3 linked regions of the Caenorhabditis elegans genome follow. The protein of the gene in region 3 interacts with the protein of the main gene of each other region in a biochemical or structural test. Each region holds a gene or a part of one and is shown on either strand. Other genes may lie near its edges. The genes, in order: air-1, spd-5 and tpxl-1.

Evidence for each region.
Region 1: of the proteins of tpxl-1 (region 3) and air-1, one has a biochemical effect on the other in vitro, tested with the Caenorhabditis elegans proteins (one study listed by BioGRID).
Region 2: the proteins of tpxl-1 (region 3) and spd-5 form a complex in vitro, tested with the Caenorhabditis elegans proteins (one study listed by BioGRID).

The regions. Positions count from the first base shown.
Region 1 is NC_003283.11:8,219,726-8,224,198, forward strand, and holds air-1 (Aurora kinase), read left to right. Parts: upstream 1-1,762; 5' UTR 1,763-1,775; coding exon 1,776-1,826; intron 1,827-1,870; coding exon 1,871-1,932; intron 1,933-1,977; coding exon 1,978-2,163; intron 2,164-2,216; coding exon 2,217-2,360; intron 2,361-2,404; coding exon 2,405-2,513; intron 2,514-2,555; exon of another isoform or gene 2,556-2,724; intron 2,725-2,788; coding exon 2,789-3,016; intron 3,017-3,053; exon of another isoform or gene 3,054-3,248; intron 3,249-3,312; coding exon 3,313-3,513; 3' UTR 3,514-3,857; downstream 3,858-4,473. Other genes in the region: cogc-6 (Conserved oligomeric Golgi complex subunit 6), read right to left, coding at 1-310, 359-594, 641-1,154, 1,201-1,341, 1,390-1,479.
Region 2 is NC_003279.8:5,170,768-5,178,393, reverse strand, and holds spd-5 (Spindle-defective protein 5), read left to right. Parts: upstream 1-1,739; 5' UTR 1,740-1,796; intron 1,797-2,857; 5' UTR 2,858-2,872; coding exon 2,873-2,924; intron 2,925-2,975; coding exon 2,976-3,163; intron 3,164-3,210; coding exon 3,211-4,308; intron 4,309-4,355; coding exon 4,356-4,437; intron 4,438-4,482; coding exon 4,483-4,880; intron 4,881-4,928; coding exon 4,929-5,142; intron 5,143-5,185; coding exon 5,186-6,071; intron 6,072-6,120; coding exon 6,121-6,371; intron 6,372-6,421; coding exon 6,422-6,753; intron 6,754-6,804; coding exon 6,805-6,900; 3' UTR 6,901-7,092; downstream 7,093-7,626. Other genes in the region: npp-6 (NUP160 middle TPR domain-containing protein), read right to left, coding at 1-191, 250-893, 944-1,069, 1,118-1,422, 1,477-1,558; Condensin-2 complex subunit hcp-6, read right to left, coding at 7,093-7,245, 7,290-7,626. UniProt on the Caenorhabditis elegans protein: Plays a central role in centrosome maturation and mitotic spindle assembly during the first division of the zygote. Required for the centrosomal localization of air-1 and zyg-9. Probably not required in late embryogenesis and during larval development.
Region 3 is NC_003279.8:2,298,278-2,305,899, reverse strand, and holds the start of tpxl-1 (TPX2 domain-containing protein), read left to right. Parts: upstream 1-1,506; 5' UTR 1,507-1,507; coding exon 1,508-1,652; intron 1,653-1,700; coding exon 1,701-2,740; intron 2,741-2,786; coding exon 2,787-2,873; intron 2,874-2,925; coding exon 2,926-3,074; coding exon of another isoform or gene 3,075-3,102; exon of another isoform or gene 3,103-3,266; coding exon of another isoform or gene 3,267-5,180; intron 5,181-5,333; coding exon of another isoform or gene 5,334-5,435; intron 5,436-5,730; coding exon of another isoform or gene 5,731-5,787; exon of another isoform or gene 5,788-5,814; intron 5,815-7,622. Other genes in the region: icp-1 (Inner centromere protein ARK-binding domain-containing protein), read left to right, coding at 1-269, 321-1,001, 1,056-1,184; epg-2 (Ectopic P granules protein 2), read right to left, coding at 3,267-5,180, 5,334-5,435, 5,731-5,787.

The sequences.
Region 1 (4,473 bases), on a different chromosome or scaffold from region 3:
TCAAATCTCCTGTTTTTACAGCAATTGAAATAAGCCCGTGATAAAGTGAAAGGCATTGCCGAACTTCTGGGACTGGAAGGAGATCATAGTGTGGTGATGTCATCTTTCTCATAAGTCCGTCCACGTGATGATTTATACCGGCAATACATACTTGACGAACTGTTTTGACGAGATCTGCGAGCATTATTGTAAAATAACTATCTTTTCGAATCAAAGTCTCGAACTTGTTTGCATAGAAAATTAAAATATTTCCCATTTTGAAAATTGTGATGGCATTTTTTTCTGTCGACAGCAGTTGCTCTACCCTAATCTGTAAACTATTATCATATATTATAGTCCAATAATTTAAACTTTTTACCTTGAACGGCGAAGTCAAAGATTTCAGGCATTCATCAAGAACGATCGGAAGATTTTCTGCGGAACAAATTGAGCTGAACAACTGTTTTTCTTGCTCCGTGAGCTCGTGAATCGAAGTCAGCATATCTCCAACTGCCTTCAGTGGTTCTGCCAACCCTTCAGGCATTTGGACAGCCATTTTGTTAATTTCAACAAACTGATTGAGCAATTCTTGTGAGCGAGATGAAATGTATTGGTCTGAAAACTAGGTTAATGGTGAGTAGATTTGAAGAACTAAACGTACCAATGGCAAGCTGGAATACAGCATCATTCTGACTTATGATTTTGAAAGCTTTAGAAAGAATTTGCTTTTTCTGATGAGAATCAACTGTCAGATTTTGAAATTCGCGTTTCAGATTGTTACAGATAATTGCATGGCTTCTTTCGTCAATTTTTTGCATTTTTTCCATCACTTCAAAAGCGGCAAGATGTCCTTGCTCCTGAACCATATTTCTGCAGTTCTCGCGAATTTCGTGGCACCTCTCAAGAACTTTGAAGAAAAATTCCGATAGATGACCACTTTGTTCACATTCGTCTAATTCTCGAAGCTCTTCACTTGATAAAGAATAGTTTTCGAGAAATTCATTTATCATATTACAACGGCTTTCTATACTCGCTTTCTTCTCCTTCAAGCTTGCTGTTTTCTGCACCAAATCAACACTTTTGAACTTTACAGTCTCCATTTGCTTTGATAAATTCGTGCATGTGGAGTTCATTTTTACACAGAGCTCATCGAATTTTTGCACAATGTTATTTATCTGAAATAGCAGATTTAAAATGAAATGATTTCAGGTTTATTCTAACTTTTTCGAACTCGCTCAAATATTCCTTGTTTAGTCTCAACTCGTATCGTTCTAGTTTATTGTGTAGTTTCCTATCAACATTTGAATCAAGGTTCATATCTTCGACCAGTGGAGTGATGAAATCAGCAATTTTGATGCAATCCTGTAAGAAATGCCATAAGTTTCGTTTGTAATTAATATTTTAGCTGACCTTGTCATTATACAGCTTCTTTGCACATGCAGTAGTCACTTTTTCTCGTAAAGGATTGACTGCTGATGAAGTTTTATCGATTACTGACATTTTATTGATTCAAATTCACCGAATTCTGCGAAAAAAATCGCAGAACTCAGTGGAATAGAAAATGCAGAATTGATTTATTCGCAACGTGTCAGCAACGACACTCCGAAATAACAGAGCGCGTGTTGTTTAGCAATGCCGCTCAACAACCCGCCAAGCAAAATTCATTCAAAGTGACTGCCTTTGTTCTAATTTTTGACGTGTTCTTGAATTAGTCGCGATTTTCTTTTTCCTTTCTCATTAAATTTTTTATTCCTCAATTTTATTATAATATTTCAACTCGCAGAATTACATTAATCATGAGCGGAAAGGAAAATACTGCTCCTGTGATAGACGATCAGAAGGCCGAGGTAATTGTTATTAAAATTAGAAAGGCATCAATTCTAATCTTCAGGTTATTTCACTTACGGAAGATAGCAGACCTCAGAGAGTTGACCAGGCAAGGGAAGAATCATGGTGAGAATAATTGATTTATTACTTTTACAATGTAATGGACTTTAGCTGGAGTCTTGATGATTTTGACGTTGGACGGCCTCTCGGAAAAGGAAAGTTTGGAAACGTTTTCATCTCTCGTGAAAAAAAGACCAAGCGAATCATAGCTTTGAAAGTACTCTTCAAAACACAGTTGCTTCAACTTGGAGTCAGTCATCAGTTGAAGAGAGAGATCGAAATTCAATATCATTTGCGGTATGTTTTCTCGAAGTCATCTCATCCAAATCAATTAATCAATATTATTTCAGTCATCCGAATATTCTCACTCTTTATGGATACTTTCACGATGACAAGCGTGTGTTCGTCATTCTCGACTATGCCAGCAGAGGAGAATTATTTAATGTCCTCCAATCACAACCTGGACACAAAGTGAATGAGGTCATTGCCGGAAGGTGTGATTTTGTAGATATTTCAGAAATATAGTAAATTTCCTCAGATTTGTGCGACAGCTGGCCAATGCGTTGCATTACTGCCATTCGAAAGGAGTTATTCACAGAGACATTAAGCCTGAAAATCTTCTTCTTGATTCGAAGCTCAATCTGAAGGTACGCGTATAAATATGGTTAACTAAGTACTCAAAAAGTCTTCTGCAATGTTCTCAGTGCATCCTTTGGTTCTCCGAGCCGAAAGAAGTCACTAGCTGAAAAAGAGTTTATACTCTGATCACACAGTAACATTGCAATAAAAGCTTAGCTCGAGATGCGTGTGCCGTTCTGCTTTTAATGCGATCTGGTTCCTTTTCTCCTCGGGACAATTACCGTAAAAATTAAATTCAACACATTTTATGCATTCTTTCTAAAAAATAAGACTTGTATTTCAGCTTGCCGATTTCGGATGGTCCGTCGTTGCTGATCACTCGAAACGCCATACATTGTGCGGTACCATGGATTATCTTGCTCCGGAAATGGTTTCCAATCAGCCACATGACTTTAATGTTGACATTTGGGCAATTGGAATTCTTCTCTTCGAAATGCTTGTTGGATATGCTCCGTTCGCCAATCAAACTGGTGATAAATTGATCGCCAGAATCAAGGAGTGCAAGATTTATGTTAGTAATTATGAACTAAATTTGTTAGAATCTTAATAAGCAGTTCTCCAACAGAAATATGTGCATGAAGTGATGGTTTGGGTAACCATTTCATCTTTTCATGTCATATATCTCCTGCCTCTCACGGTTTCATCTGTGAGAAGCTTCAAAGAACTGCAATAGAAGTCTAGCTCGAGATGCGTGTGCCGGTTTGCTTTTAATGCAATATGGTTCCTTTTCTCCTCGGGACAGTTCTCAAACATTCATTTCCATTTTGTTTCCCAAGTAGTTTCATCTAAATTGCTTCTTTTTTGCAGATTCCAAGTGTTGTGACTGACGGAGCTGCCAGTTTGATAAATGCAATAATCAAAAAGGAACCCCAAGAACGTCTCCCACTTGTTGACATCATGGCTCATCCGTGGATTAAGGAAATGAAGCAACGCGAAGACATTGAAGTTCCACTCTTCATTTCGACGCTCACGAAATCCAGTCGCAATAATTCTACAGCCAATCAATAAAAGCTCTGTCTATTGTCCATTAAAGTCTCAACCTTTTCTACTTGTCTTTCCAAACAATTATCATCTGCACTTTCCCTTCTTTAGAACCGTATATCATACGGCTACTAACTTCTTATTTTCGCTAATCCATTTAAGCAATTTATCCGTTTTCATCCTTTTGTTTCTTCTCACACTGACAACGAGAAGGATTTAAATTTATCTAAATCAATTATTCTTTATTTGTGTGTGTGTAAAATCATTAGATTCCCGTGAAAGTACTGTATCGTGTGTTCCCGTCTGCCCCATTAATTTTTTCCCAAATTTCGCATCCAAGTGTCTCGATTATCACATAAACGATGGTGCACCTCTTTGTTCATTGGTTCTCAGAAGAAATACAATGCTTTCTGCTAAAAGCCAAAACTCAAACAGTGGTGGCGGTAAGTAGAAGGCTGCCGCCTTTTTTGGCACTGTTTTGTTCCGCCAAAAAAGTAGCATGGTATGCAAACATTATAACGAGTTAACACTACATTGGTAGGAGTGGGAACGTTTTTTGGAACAGCTAAAGTTTGAAACATAAAGCGGAGGTTTAACAACGTTAAGTGGTATCTGGCAGAGAGCCTTAAATATCGTACATTCGCAAAAACTTTATCCTAGCTAGGTGCTATGTGCTACATGAAAAATTCTAGTTTTTTCTGTACATTTCAGAATTTCAAAATTCGTATAGTACATTTTCCATATCAAATGAAAAAATCTGTAAATTTTGGAACCTCACTATGACTGAGTTCGTGCCGAGACCCACTCAGGAAAACATCGTGTGCCTTTTAACTGATATCTCAGCATTTCGTGAAAATACAATATAAACATTTCTTTCTAATGTTTAATAATAACTGTAATCCTTGAAATGAACTGATCAATTAGATACTAGAATAATGCACAAAAATGTTTAATATTTGCGCGAATAACTGGTCGTTACCATCTGGT
Region 2 (7,626 bases), 2.9 Mb from region 3:
GTTCTTCTTTGGTAGTGGCAGGCGAAGTGAACTGACGAACGGAATGCCAATCGAAATCTGTGAAAACTCGTCCCTTTTTCCATTGGATAGCAAATGAGATCCGTTTCATCGAATAGGTTTTCTTTGCAGATGAACTTTTGAAAAGAGCAGAAAGTGAAAATAGTGCAGCTGTGAGAGGATTATACAATTCCCTGAAACAATTTTATATTTAGACAAGAAAAAAACCCATTTTATAACAACGATTCTTACCCATCTTGTGTCTCATCAAGACTTTCCGATTCCTTTGATGGGAAATAGTTTTGAATAAGCTCGAGATCAACAAGTCGTTCATCAACGGACATCGATGTTTCGAACATTTGTAGATGTTGAATTTGATCATTTGAAACTTTGAGAATATGAACTCTCATCCCGACGCTTTTTCCCGAAACTGCCAAATCACATCCAACAATCAGAAGAATATCCACATCGAATGAATAAGCTCTGATAGAATATACAGTTTCAGTTGGTTCCATTGGAGACTTTTCTTCCTCGAAGTCTGCAGATTCTAGATCTCGATTCAAAGATTTTCCGTCTGAAGCAAAGTAGTTATTCAAGTCAATAGTGCTTGGCAATTGTTTTTTCGTCTCAACATTCCATGCTTGCACCCATCCGTCTCTGGTAACAGCGAACACAATATCGGATTGGACTGAAATTTTTCGCTCTCTCGTGACTCCAGAAGTCGGGCGAAGATTCTTCATAACACATGCATCACTGACTCGTTTATCAGTGCCACCTAGAAGTTTTCCCAGAAGACCAACTTCTCCCATTGTGAATTCTTCGTGTTTATCACTGGATTCCGTGTATGATCCCAATGTGACAATGACCAACTGCCCTTCAGCGGTACAGTAAGAAATCTGAATTCAAAATTCGAAATATAGGTTGTAATCAATTTCCATTTTTATACCGTATTTCTTGAAGGATGATGTGTAACACTTGCACGAATCGGGCGCCCTGGTGTTGAAAGGGAGTGAGATGTTCTGAATCGGCGGAAATCGTCATCTTCTTTAATTCTTGCAAGAATTGAGAACGTCTGAAAATAATTATTCTCATTCGATTATGGAAATTTTTGAGAACAAACATCATGGCCTTTGGAGTGGAGTCTCGCGTAGAAACGATGAATTGCAGAAGCTGTGGGAACGACAATACATAAAACCCCTTCCTCGAAAATTGTTATCGATGTTCCAGGAATAATAGGTGTGCGTGTGAAGTCAATGCACAACGATCCATCCGTGATTGAGTAGAGCAAAGAACGCTCCTCAATGAACAGTTTCTGGCCAATCGCACGCCACAGGAAAATCCGATCGCCGTAATTTGAGCAGTGCGGAAATGTTGCAACTCCTGCGGACGGTTGCACATCAAATCCATTCGAATGAAGCGGCGCATCTAAAAAAGTGAAATTTGTTGTAGAAACAATTATTTAATGAAATTGAAACTTACTGGTGTTTACCACAAAAGTTCTAGCCGGCTTTATAGCAAATCCATCCGTGAAGCTGATTTCCGACCCGTAAACCAGCTCCATCTGAAATTAAGCATAAAACACGATGTTAAAGCAAAAGAGAAATATGGAGATGAAATAAACACGTTCAAAAATATTTAAATATCGTTAAAAACAATTTTTCATTGGCGTGAACTTGTTTTACTTGTTTTTTATACGTTTTTTTATACGTGAAAAAATGGAAGAAAACAATTCACTTTAAATTTTAATCACTTATCGAGAAGGTTCTCATTGGATTCAAAGAAAAACTTGTTAGAAATTTGTGAGTTTTTACAATAAGCTTCATATTTTGACACTTTGCGATGTAAAATTTTACAAAACAATGATGAATTGAGCCGAAAACGCCTCCATATGGAGCTCCATTCGAATTCAAAAATAAGGGGCGTGGCTGCATGAGCAATACCGCCGCATGGTATTTCGCAACATGCGCACACTTTTTCTCTGTCAAGAAAAACGAGGCCCCACGAAAAGGGGATCTGCAAAAAGGGGATCTGCGAAAAGGGGAGATACGAAAAGGGGAGATACGAAAAGGGGAGCAACGAAAAGGGGATCTGGCACTGTGCCAAACGCTATTTTTCTCGAAGAAAACGATACAACGATTGTCGCGAATACGCAGAATACTGAGTCATCAACAATGACAAAGCCGGGAAACTCCTGTTTGAAAGCCGCGCCAAAAGACACACACGTCACGCGTGTTACAGTACTACCACACATGCACATCAAACCCCAACACGTCGACACCACGCAAGGAAATCGTCACTTCTTCGTTTTACTCTTGGACCGGCAGGTCGCATGTTAAATATATGAGCTTTCTCATTTTTATCATTTAACGGATTTATCAGTAATAAATTATATAATTCTACCACTTTTGAACCTATACCGATCCGAAACATGGTGCATCGGCTCCGATGTTACGCGTCGCGTGTTGTTAAGCGTATCTTCTAGAAGAAAATTTCAAAAATCAACGTGCGTTGCGTGAGAAAAATTGCGTTTTGTGCGTTTGGCACAGTGCCAGCTCCCCTTTTCGTTGCTCCCCTTTTCGTATCTCCCCTTTTTGCAGATCCCCTTTTCGTTCTGCTCCCCTTTTCGTGGGGCCTCAGAAAAACGCGCGCCTAAACGTGAATTTTGAATTTTCTCCGCGTCCGCGAAATTCTTACGTTTCCATAGTAACAAAAGTTGGTCCGCACTTGTTTTTCATGATTATGCACGCCCAAAGAACGGTGCTGAAGCTTCAAATTTTGCAACCTCCTGTTCATTTTGACTCAAAACTCTTAATCCCAAAAAAACGCTCAATTTTGTTTTCGAACCCGTTTCTTGTTTCAGAAAACTTCGCGTTAAATGGAGGATAATTCTGTGCTCAACGAGGACTCCAATCTCGAGCATGTCGAGGGTAATTATAACATTTAAAATCAATAACTGCATAAATGCAAAGGTTTTTTAGGCCAGCCACGAAGATCTATGTCGCAACCAGTTCTGAATGTTGAAGGAGACAAAAGAACGTCTTCGACCAGTGCCACTCAACAGCAAGTATTGTCAGGAGCATTTTCGTCTGCTGATGTTCGTAGCATCCCCATCATCCAAACATGGGAAGAAAACAAAGCGCTTAAAACAAAAATAACTATCCTGAGAGTAAGTAATTTATCATATGCTTATTTAGAAATGATTTGAGTTTGTAGGGAGAACTGCAAATGTATCAGCGCCGGTATAGTGAGGCAAAGGAAGCGTCGCAGAAGAGAGTTAAGGAAGTTATGGACGATTATGTCGATCTCAAATTAGGCCAAGAAAATGTTCAAGAGAAAATGGAGCAATACAAACTGATGGAAGAGGATTTGCTAGCAATGCAATCGAGAATTGAAACTTCCGAAGACAATTTTGCCAGACAGATGAAAGAATTTGAGGCACAAAAGCATGCAATGGAGGAAAGAATCAAGGAACTGGAATTGTCCGCTACTGATGCAAACAACACAACTGTCGGATCTTTTCGTGGAACTCTTGATGACATTCTGAAGAAAAACGATCCAGATTTCACATTAACCTCTGGTTATGAAGAAAGAAAGATCAACGACCTGGAGGCAAAGCTCCTCTCTGAGATCGACAAGGTAGCTGAGCTGGAAGATCACATTCAGCAGCTCCGTCAAGAACTTGACGACCAATCTGCAAGGCTTGCCGATTCAGAAAATGTTCGCGCTCAGCTTGAAGCGGCCACTGGACAAGGAATCCTCGGAGCTGCTGGAAACGCTATGGTTCCAAATTCAACGTTCATGATCGGGAACGGTCGTGAATCACAGACGCGAGACCAGCTCAATTACATTGATGATCTTGAAACGAAGTTAGCTGATGCGAAGAAGGAAAATGATAAGGCTCGTCAGGCACTCGTTGAATACATGAACAAGTGTAGCAAGCTTGAGCACGAGATTCGAACCATGGTTAAAAATTCGACATTTGATTCTTCTTCCATGTTGCTTGGTGGTCAGACATCCGACGAGCTTAAAATCCAAATAGGAAAGGTGAACGGTGAATTGAATGTGTTGAGAGCTGAAAATCGAGAACTCCGCATTCGTTGTGATCAATTGACCGGAGGCGATGGAAATCTTAGCATTTCACTGGGACAAAGTCGACTGATGGCTGGTATTGCGACTAATGATGTCGATAGCATTGGACAAGGAAATGAGACTGGCGGAACATCGATGCGCATTCTTCCCAGAGAAAGTCAATTAGATGATCTTGAAGAAAGCAAATTGCCGCTCATGGATACATCATCTGCTGTTCGAAATGTAAGTGTATGAAAATTATTATTTAAAATAAAGTCTTGAATATTTAGCAGCAACAATTTGCCTCCATGTGGGAAGATTTCGAGTCAGTGAAAGACAGCCTGCAGAACAACCATAATGACACCCTTGAAGGTAGTAAAATTGATTCCTAGATTTTTTGAAATTGATTATTGTTAGGTTCCTTCAATTCGTCAATGCCACCACCTGGTAGAGATGCAACTCAATCGTTCCTCAGTCAGAAGTCTTTCAAGAATTCTCCGATTGTAATGCAGAAACCAAAATCACTTCATCTTCACCTGAAGAGCCATCAATCCGAGGGAGCTGGCGAACAAATACAGAATAATTCGTTTTCTACGAAGACTGCTTCTCCTCACGTGTCACAAAGTCACATTCCAATTCTGCACGATATGCAACAAATTCTGGATTCTTCTGCAATGTTCCTTGAAGGCCAGCATGATGTAGCTGTAAATGTTGAGCAAATGCAAGAGAAAATGTCCCAGATCAGAGAGGCTCTTGCTCGACTTTTCGAAAGACTTAAATCTTCTGCTGCTCTTTTTGAAGAGATTCTTGAAAGGGTATGAAAACTGTCAAGTTGTGAATCTGTAAATCTGAGTTTTTTGTAGATGGGATCCAGTGATCCAAATGCGGATAAGATCAAGAAAATGAAGCTCGCATTTGAAACAAGTATTAACGACAAGCTCAATGTATCTGCCATCTTGGAAGCAGCGGAGAAGGATCTTCATAATATGTCACTCAATTTCTCAATTCTCGAGAAGTCGATAGTTAGTCAGGCTGCGGAAGCTTCGAGAAGATTCACTATTGCACCCGATGCTGAAGGTAATATAAATTTTAGAGACGCTCATAAATCAATATTTTCCAGATGTCGCCTCATCTTCTCTTCTCAATGCCTCGTATAGTCCACTCTTCAAGTTTACAAGCAATTCAGACATAGTGGAAAAGCTTCAGAATGAGGTATCGGAGTTGAAAAATGAATTGGAGATGGCTCGTACACGAGATATGAGATCTCCATTGAACGGTTCGTCTGGAAGATTGTCGGATGTGCAGATCAACACCAATCGCATGTTTGAAGATCTCGAAGTATCTGAAGCAACGCTACAAAAGGCTAAAGAGGAAAATTCTACATTGAAAAGTCAATTTGCTGAACTCGAAGCCAATCTCCATCAAGTTAATTCTAAGCTTGGAGAAGTGCGATGCGAGCTCAATGAAGCGTTGGCTCGTGTGGATGGTGAACAGGAGACTCGTGTCAAAGCTGAAAATGCATTGGAAGAGGCTCGTCAGCTCATCAGTTCTCTAAAACATGAGGAAAATGAGCTCAAGAAAACCATTACTGATATGGGGATGCGATTGAATGAAGCAAAGAAGAGCGATGAATTCTTGAAAAGCGAGTTATCTACCGCGCTGGAGGAAGAAAAAAAATCCCAAAATCTAGCAGATGAGTTGAGTGAAGAATTGAATGGGTGGAGAATGAGAACAAAAGAGGCGGAAAATAAAGTTGAACATGCTTCATCCGAGAAATCTGAAATGCTTGAAAGAATTGTTCATTTGGAGACTGAGATGGAGAAGTTGTCGACTTCAGAAATTGCGGCCGACTATTGTTCTACGAAGATGACAGAAAGAAAGAAGGAAATTGAGTTGGCGAAGTATCGCGAAGATTTTGAGAATGCCGCTATTGTAGGATTGGAACGTATCAGTAAGGAGATATCTGAGCTAACCAAGAAGACTTTGAAAGCCAAGATTATCCCAAGGTATTATCAAACGTCGTGCTTGTTTTTTTTTATTTGAGAACATTTTCAGCAACATCTCATCGATTCAACTCGTTTGCGATGAACTCTGTCGTCGTCTTTCCAGGGAACGAGAGCAACAGCATGAATACGCGAAAGTTATGAGAGACGTCAATGAAAAAATTGAAAAGCTTCAATTAGAGAAAGATGCTCTCGAACATGAGCTGAAAATGATGAGCTCTAATAACGAGAATGTCCCACCAGTTGGAACATCGGTCAGTGGCATGCCTACTAAAACATCGAATCAAAAGTGTGCTCAACCTCGTAAGTCATACTTATGCACATCAGAAGTTGAATTTTCACCAATTCTCCAGATTACACGAGCCCTACTCGACAATTGCTCCACGAATCAACTATGGCTGTCGACGCAATTGTTCAGAAACTCAAGAAGACTCACAATATGTCAGGAATGGGTCCAGAGCTTAAGGAGACGATTGGCAACGTCATCAATGAATCCAGAGTTCTTCGCGATTTCCTCCATCAGAAGCTCATTCTATTCAAAGGAATCGATATGTCCAATTGGAAGAACGAGACCGTCGATCAACTGATCACAGATCTCGGACAATTGCATCAGGATAACTTGATGCTTGAGGAGCAAATCAAGAAGTACAAAAAGGAACTGAAACTGACAAAATCCGCCATCCCGGTATGAAATTCTTTTTCTATTGAAATCTATTTTGAAAAATATCATTTTCAGACACTTGGTGTCGAATTTCAAGACAGAATCAAAACGGAAATTGGCAAAATCGCAACTGATATGGGAGGAGCTGTGAAGGAAATTCGCAAAAAGTGAACTGATCTGTTAATGTATTAAAATGGAACCAGTTTTATCAACACTATCATCTCGACAAGATTAACTTGTAACGATTGTATTGTTTTCCCAGCCTAAAGATACACCTAATGCATCTATCAATGTACTTGTGAATTAAATGCTTCTTTTCTGGTAGTTGACTGCAATCCCATTACAGATAATAAAAGGAACAGATTAATTTAATGAAAAAACAGCGGACAATCTTACAATAATACAAACAGTTGAGATAAATAAGACAAATTTCGATGGAAGATTTATACAATGACATTGATCAGCTTTCCTCTTCATCCTCTTCGAAGATATTGTGAAGGTGATAAGCTTGACTTTCTGTAAAATTAAGGCGTTTTGTAAATTCAAGAAATTGTGAATACCTTACTTCTGTTTTTCAAGTCTTCCTTTTCGGTAATAGCCGACAAATTAAGGGAGAATGTGACATCGCTTGGATCTGCGTCTTCTCGTGATCGAATCGGAGTTGAACAATGACGTCCTGCACCAAGCTTACTTTCATCGAAAATCAACGGAGTCACTCCGCGTGACAGTGGATCATTTTCAGTGTTACCAGATGAACTTGTTGGCACATTTTCCTCTTCCTCGTCAACAGATTTCCGTTTTCGATTAGAATTCTCTTTCACGACTGGTGGCTCTGTTGACTGACCCCGACGACTACGACGCAAAGTGACGTTGGCCGAAATATTGACTTCCTTTTCC
Region 3 (7,622 bases):
TTCGTCAGGAAAAGCTCGACCAGTTGAAGCAAAAGGAAGAGCGTAATGCTAATTTGGCGAAACTTCACAACAGTGCAAAGTCGCCAACAAGAGCTCGTTTGATGCAAGACCATGCTCCAAACAAGGCTGCAAGTAGAAAAATCTTCCCAACGGCGGAAAGCACATCCACTCCTGGTCGAGGCCCTGCTAAGAAGGGAAAAGTTGAGATTCTAATTGGCTCAGATGGACAGAAGACTGCTCCTGTGGCTCAGCCGACCGTTGAACTATCGGTGAGTATTTACTTGATTGTATTTTCCTAATAATAATTTAACTCATTTCAGCCTTCCCGAGAATTGCAACGAAACGGTAGCCGGCAAGTCAAAATGGAGCCGATGAGCTGTGATGATTCAACTCCACCGGCGCGTCAACATAAACCAAAGGCGAAAGCGACGAAACGATCGGCCCACGCAGCTTCGTCTTCTACATCAAATGTTGAAGCTGCTGCCGCACTTGCCGCTCTTCAGGAACAGCAACGTATTCAGCTGGAACAGGAGCAGTATCTGCTACAGTTAGCAGAAGATGAACGACGAAAGCGGGAGCAGAAGGAAATGAAAGAGAAAGCGGAGAAGGAGCGTCAACTCAGAGCTCGAGAAGAGCAGGAGCATTTTCTGGCCGTTCAGAGAGAAGAGCAAGCTCAGCTGGAGAAGCAAAGAGAGCGAGAAGAGGCAGAGCTCCAGGCAACACTCGCAAGATGCGCGGAGAAACAAGCTCGTCAGGAAGCTCTTCGAAAAACGCCACCACCTGCAGCCTACGAAATGACTCCGCCACGTACCTATCAAAACAACTCAAAGAATGACTATGGTTTGAACGATCTTAACAGTGATGACGAGACAGATCAAGAAGATGATCCACGCAAAGATGTCCCGGCTTGGGCCGAATTCGCAGTTGTCCGTGAGAATGTCAGAAGACATGCCATTAATCCACCATTCGACGTGGCTCAATTCTTCGGATCGATTGGAAAGGTAATTGTTTTTTTTTTCTTGCAGCTCCTTCAGTAAAAATTTAAAAATTTTCAGCCAAATCTAAAGGAAATCTTTAGTGATGCTGTCAAAGTCAAGAAGCGCGGATCGTCAGCAGTGTGGAAAAAGAGTCCATCAACGTTAAACACGTCGTCTCGCACAATTCTTCAAGACATTTCGGAATGATGTTGTACCGAAGCAGCTTACATCGCCAGGAGTCGCTCCAGCATGCGACATAATCTTTTTTCAAAAATTGTAAAATGTTTTTATATTTCGTATTGAGTTATTTTTTATTTTCAATGTTTCCCCCTTTTTAACGGAGAATACAAAAACTCCATCGGCCCTAACTTTACATTAAATTTTTTTTTCGCTGTAAATAATAATTCTTCAGCCGATTTTTATTTTATTGTTCACTCATTGATTAACGTGTTCTGAATTCACGAGTTTATTTATTTATTTATTTTTCTATCAGTTAGAATTCAAATTATCATTTATTTCTTTCTTATAGGATGAGCAAAAGTCAAACCATTCAGGAATTCGATGAGAATTTCTTCAGCAGCTTTGCTGTACCGAAAGTCAAGGACTATTCGAGATTATCGAGCTCGCCGAGCAGAGACCAGCCGTGTGAGACGTCATACTTCGAAAATCACTTTCGTAAGACTATTCAAATATTATTTTTCATAATAAAGTTTTAATTTCCAGCAAGCCTGGAATGCGACACGCCGGTCAAAATGCAACTTCCCAAGACGAAGCGGGAATCCGATGATGATCTCCCATCTCCAACTATCGATAATCTTCTTTCGTCTTCATCGGAATCCACTGTAATCAACGCAAGTCAAAATGACAACACAGAAGAGAAGCAGCAGCAACCAATCAGAGAACCACTCAAAATCGTGCCAAACGAGGACGCATCAGCTTCAGGAAGCGGTGGAGAAAATCAGCTAATCGAGGGACTTGAGAAATTGTCAATGTTTGCACCAAAAGCTCCAGAGGAACGTCTTTCGCAGCGTCGCCGTTCAGAGCAGAGAAAGAAAGAAGAGGAAGATAAGAGGACATCCGTCATTGCTCCAGCGTCCGGAACTCGTTCTCGCTCGATCAGCACGAAACGTTCAATGTCGCGTGAGCCAGCTGCAGCAGCTCCACGAGCACCATCTGTGCCACGTCCACCTCACAATTCTGTCACTCGCACCATCTCCGCGCCAATTGCAAATACCGGACCAGGTGTCATTACTCGTGCGATGGCTGCTCGTGTCGCTGAAAATGTCACCAAAACAAGTGTTCGTCGAAGTGTTATGCCTCTCAAAGTGGCTCAGAAAACGCCGGTTGCCGCAGTAAAATCGGATGCTGCTACTGCAGGAGGTGACAGATCCCGTGACCGTACACGCCGTACCAATACAACGGCTTCTCGTCGAAGTGTTTTCCCCAATAAGCCTGCTGCTGCTGCAGCAAACACCACTCCAATTGCTCCACCGCGGCGTTCGGCATCGGCGAACAAGGCAACAGCGCCGACGTCGGTGAGCAAATTGACGCCGAAGATTCGTCCGATTGCAACAGCCAATCGCTCATCGATTCTTCGAATGAATGTTGTGAAGCCAACTGTTCCGGCTCCGGCTCCTGCTGATGCTCAACAGAATAAAGCGGCTTCACGTCCTGCTGTTCCAGCTGGTGGAGCAGCTCGTAACCGGCAGCCGCTTCGAGTCAACCCGGGAACTCCGAGCACAACGATCAAGAAACCACCAGTGGTAATTTAAAAAATTTGCCTAATTGTTTAATAAATCGAATTTCCAGGCTTCATCCGTACAACGCCAGCCGCCGACTCGAGCTCGGTCAGTGGACCGTTCTGGCCAACCTCCAATTTCGGCTTCCACTCCAGGGGTACATTTGTGCAACGTTTTTTTTTCTATATATATATTTTTTGAATTTACAGAAAGCCTCCCGTGCTGACCTTTTCAACAGACTTGCCACACCAAAGGTTACTGCTACGCCAACGAGGACTTCACACGAGGGCCCAGCGTCGAGTATCCGAAAATCTGCTGTGCGCCCTGTGCCATCATATGTGTACAGCTCCTACAAAGGGTATGAGAAGAAACGATGGATTTATTGAACTCAAAATTCTTCAAAAAAGGAAAAATTGATTATTTAAACAGAAAAAATTGTAATAACAAATTGAGAACAATTTAGGCGGGCATGAAAGACAAAAACAATTTGCAATGTACAGTAAAGTGTGCAATTTAGAAACAAAAACGAACAAGAAATTAATCAAAATTGTTATTCTTCGTCGACCATCTCCCATTCAGCCTTCTCTTCCGATTCCGTTGATGCTTTCGGCTCCTCGTCGAGTTCTTCAACTCCCAAATTATCCACCAACTTCTTATGAGCATCATTCAACTGAACAATCTCTGCATCGTGAATTCTCTTCGTTTCGATTGCAAGTTCTGTGTGCTCGCGAATGGTTTCCTGGAGTTTGTCAATTGTGGTACGATCCGAGATTCCTTGAGATGTCAGAACGCGACAATGATTGCCAAGAACATTGTATTGCTGTTTCATTGATACCATTGCAGCTTGGAATTCGTTAATCTCGGCATTTTTCTCATCTGTTTCCTTCTTAAACTGGGCTTGAGTAACCTCATTGATCTTTTTTAGCTGCTCGATTTCAATAGTGGCGTAATGGAGACGTTGTTGGATTCCGGATTTCGCATCTTCCAAGAGTGCTACTTCAAGTTTGTGATGTTCAGTCAAATTTCCAATTTCTTTCTGAGCATTAGCTCGAGACACTCTGAGTGCAATACATTCTTCAGAAACGAGAGTCATTTTGCTTTCTAAAGCCAAATGTGCGGTTCTGAGATCATCTTCGGAGCTCAAAAGCAAACTGCACTGGTCTCTCAAGCTTTGATGAGCAGCATTGGATTGCTCTAGTTCGTTTCGTACCGTCAAAATCTCATTGGCGTGCTTCTTCTTCCCAGATTCCAGAGCCATTTGTCCTTTGATCAACTCCTGATTAATTGCCAACATATGATTGTACTTCATATTATCAATTTGCTTGGCGTACTGTTGATGCACAGCAACCATTTTTGCATCCATCTCACTCTGCATCTGGCCTTTTTCGATGTCCCGCTCCTGAATTGTTGTGCTCAATTGTTCGCGGAGACATTCACATGTGCGATTGACATCTTCTTTCTCCTCCTTCAAAATTTTGAAGTCCTCCTTCAGATCGTAATTCTCCATTCTGAGCTCCATCAGTTCGGTTTCAGACTCACGGAGCAACTCAATCGTGTCACTGTGCTCGCTGGAAAACGCAGCAGCTTTATCACTGCCAAGTTTGAGTTGTTCTTCAAGATGAGCAATGACTGCTTCATCCTGTTCGTGTTCGTCCTTTCTGAACTGTAAGCATTCACCGAGTCTTGCAATTTCATCTTCCAACTTATCGCGAAGATCTTTGTTGAAACTGGTCACCGCTTCTGTAACTTCAGCTTTTTCCTTCATTGCCAAACGAGTAGAGCCAAGTTCCAGGCGAACATCGGACAACTCGTTGAGCAAAGCTCTAATTCGGTCAGTCAATTGCAATCGTTCAGAGTCAAAGTAGTCATTTTGACTCTTCAACTTTGTAATTTCAACTTCAAATTCATTCTGCTTGACCTTCCAGTTTTCCTTCATTTGATGGATCTGCTTCAAGGTGTCTTCTCTTCCATACATCAGATCATTCAATGCAGATGTGAACTCCTTTGTCTGCAATTCCAGTTGAAGCGAAATCTCGTCTTTCCGCTCAACAATATCTTTCATGGCAATATCTTTTTCACAAACTTCACGTTCCAGCGTCTCAATGCGGCTCTCGTGCTCTTCGTTTTCCGTTTGGGTTTTCTCGAGCTCCTCGTTACAGTTATCCAATGCAAACTGGGCACATTGCCGAATCGATTCCAACTCGTGACAATCTTTTTGAAGTTTTGTATTCTCATCTGAGATCCGCGTAAGAGCTTCTTGAAATTTTTTCGAGTCGCTCAACCAGATCTTTCTGAGCTCCTCTTTCATCTCTTTCAATTCCAAGTTTTCGGCCACAAGATCTCGGTTCAAAATTTTGAGATTGTTTTCTTCGGAGGTCGTTTCTTGAGCGGACGATGCTTTTTCTTCGGCTTCGTCAAGCATGATCTCCAATAATGTGGAGTAGGTCTTGGCTTCCACGTTTTCCTGAAAAATAATAGGTTTATAGCTTGAAAAATTGCAATTTACTAATTAATTAAGTTCCATTAATTCTATTATTAGTTATATTAAGTTAATTAATTTCATTAATTGAATTGATTTTCTCAATTCTCTAAATAGTGAATTGAATAAGTTGCTCACCTTTCTGAGAAGCACAACTTCGTCCTTCAACAACTGGTGTTCTTCTTTTTCCTCAGCCAGCATTTTGTCCAAGTTTTGAAGTGAGTCTTCAGCCAATTCGATCTAAAATATAAACACTTGTTCATGGCACATTCAACTATTTTCAAAACTCCAGAATTCATTGAAAACACGTGGTGTCAGAGTGTCTCATTTCGGCTTGATCTACATAAATCTACAAAAAAATGCGGGAGAAGAGACACAGAGTTCTCAACTGATTTCGCATGGTTAAGAACATATTTTTGTGCAAAAAATTCCCGCGTTTTTTGTAGATCAAACCGTGATGAGACAGACTCTGGCACCACGTGTGAAAATGGATTTTTTGTGTCTCAACAGAATCTAGAACAGCTCAAATACTTACCGGCTCTTGATCCTCTGCTGACGATGAAAAAACTGTGACAGTTCTGTTGGCACTCATTCTTTTGAAAGCTGTTGAAATTGAGATCTGCAAAAAATATCGATTATTGAGAGATGTGTTACACACACAAAAATTAATAGTGAGACGAATGACAAGGTCACCATAAAAAATATTCGAAGAAGGAGAAAGAAAGCTTGCGAGGCTGTGAGAGGAAAACGGCGATCAGGTAGAATATATAATTCAGTTGTTAGGCATTGTGTGGTAGTAGCTAATGACTGAGAATTGAATGAAGAACCCGAGAAGAGAGGAATGAATAATATGAAAGAGAGTGAAAAAGAGAGAGAGAGAGAGAGACGAGAGATATGGGTGGTCTCGGGGAGTGAAAGAGGGAGAAATGGCAACGGTTTGGATAGCTCGACGAGAGCAAAAGAGACAGCCTCTGCATAATGCTCTGCGCTCTCTTGCTCTCTGCATATTGGCAGCGTCTAGCCACCGAGAGATGGGCCACGGTAAAAAGCGAGAGAGAGAGAATGGTCCGACTGATGTAATGTACAGGCCAAGGTTACAATGTGGATAGTTGTGGAGGACTGCGCGTTTGGTTAGATGCGCCACTAGGGCGGGGCTGCTCTGTGTTTGCTCTCTGGAAATAGCGTTGTGTGAGCAGAAGAGGGAGATTTGGGAAAGTCGGGGTCACGTTAAGGGTCAGAAGATGATGTTAAGATTGGGGAAGGGGTGAACAGGTGAAGTGGAAATAGTATTGAATGACTTTTTGGTGGTCTTTGATGTCGAGAAAACAATGGATATATATGACAATCTGGAAGATTTAGAGCATTACATTACAGAAATTCAAATTTTAAAGGTGGTGTAGTCGAATTTTTTTATTGTCTTATTAGACTCGATATTCTCTCAAAACACCGAGTTTCACAATGAAACTTCTTGAAAACTTTTCAGAAAAAAGTTATGACGGCTCTAAAAATGGCCTAAAATTAGTTAAAATCGGAAATTTGACCGACTTGTCAATGTCGCAGTGGCTGGAAATAATTTTTTTTGATATTACCGCCAAATTTTGAGTATACAAGTCGATTACCTCGCGTTTTAAACGAGTATTTAAAAATCGATGGACGGCGAGTTTTGGTTAAAAAAATTAAAAATCAAAGATTTTTTAATACCTTAATCAAGTTTAAAACGTAAGATAATTAACTTGTATACTCAAAATTTGGCGGTGATTTCAAAAAAAAATTGTTTCCAGCTGCTGCGACATTGATAAGTTGGTCAAATTTCCGATTTTAACTAATTTTAGGCCATTTTTTGAGCCGTCATAACTTTTTTCTGAAAAGTTTTCAAGAAGTTTCATTATGAAATTCGGTGTTTTCAGACAATTATGAGCCTGATAAAGCAATAAAAAAAATTCGACTACACCACCCTTAAAAGTGGGAAGTTAGGAAAAGTTATAGGATTTCGAGCTAATAAGGAATGTAATCAGTAGTTTTGTAGGGCAAAATTAGGTGCCTACAAGGCAGGCATAATATGCCTCGAAGATGCCTATCGATAGGCGATGAAACATTTATCTGACTACATGAAAACCTAGAATTGTAAAATTATTTTTGTTGTCTTAAAATGATAAAAATATAGTCTAAAATGACTGGCTGGAGTAGATAAGATTCTTCGATTTTTTTCATAGAAAGTTTTTTAAAAATCTATAGAGATGTAATGATAAAATTCAATTTTTCATCAAGTTTTGTTACTAATGACGGAAGAAAAATATCAGAAAACAACATCTTTTCTAAAAAAAAATGGCTAAAACTTGAGCCATTTTTGCAAAAAATGCTATTTTTCTGAAAATCGAAAACGAAAACACAATTCCGACAAATTTCCGGTTCGCCGATTTCCCGAAA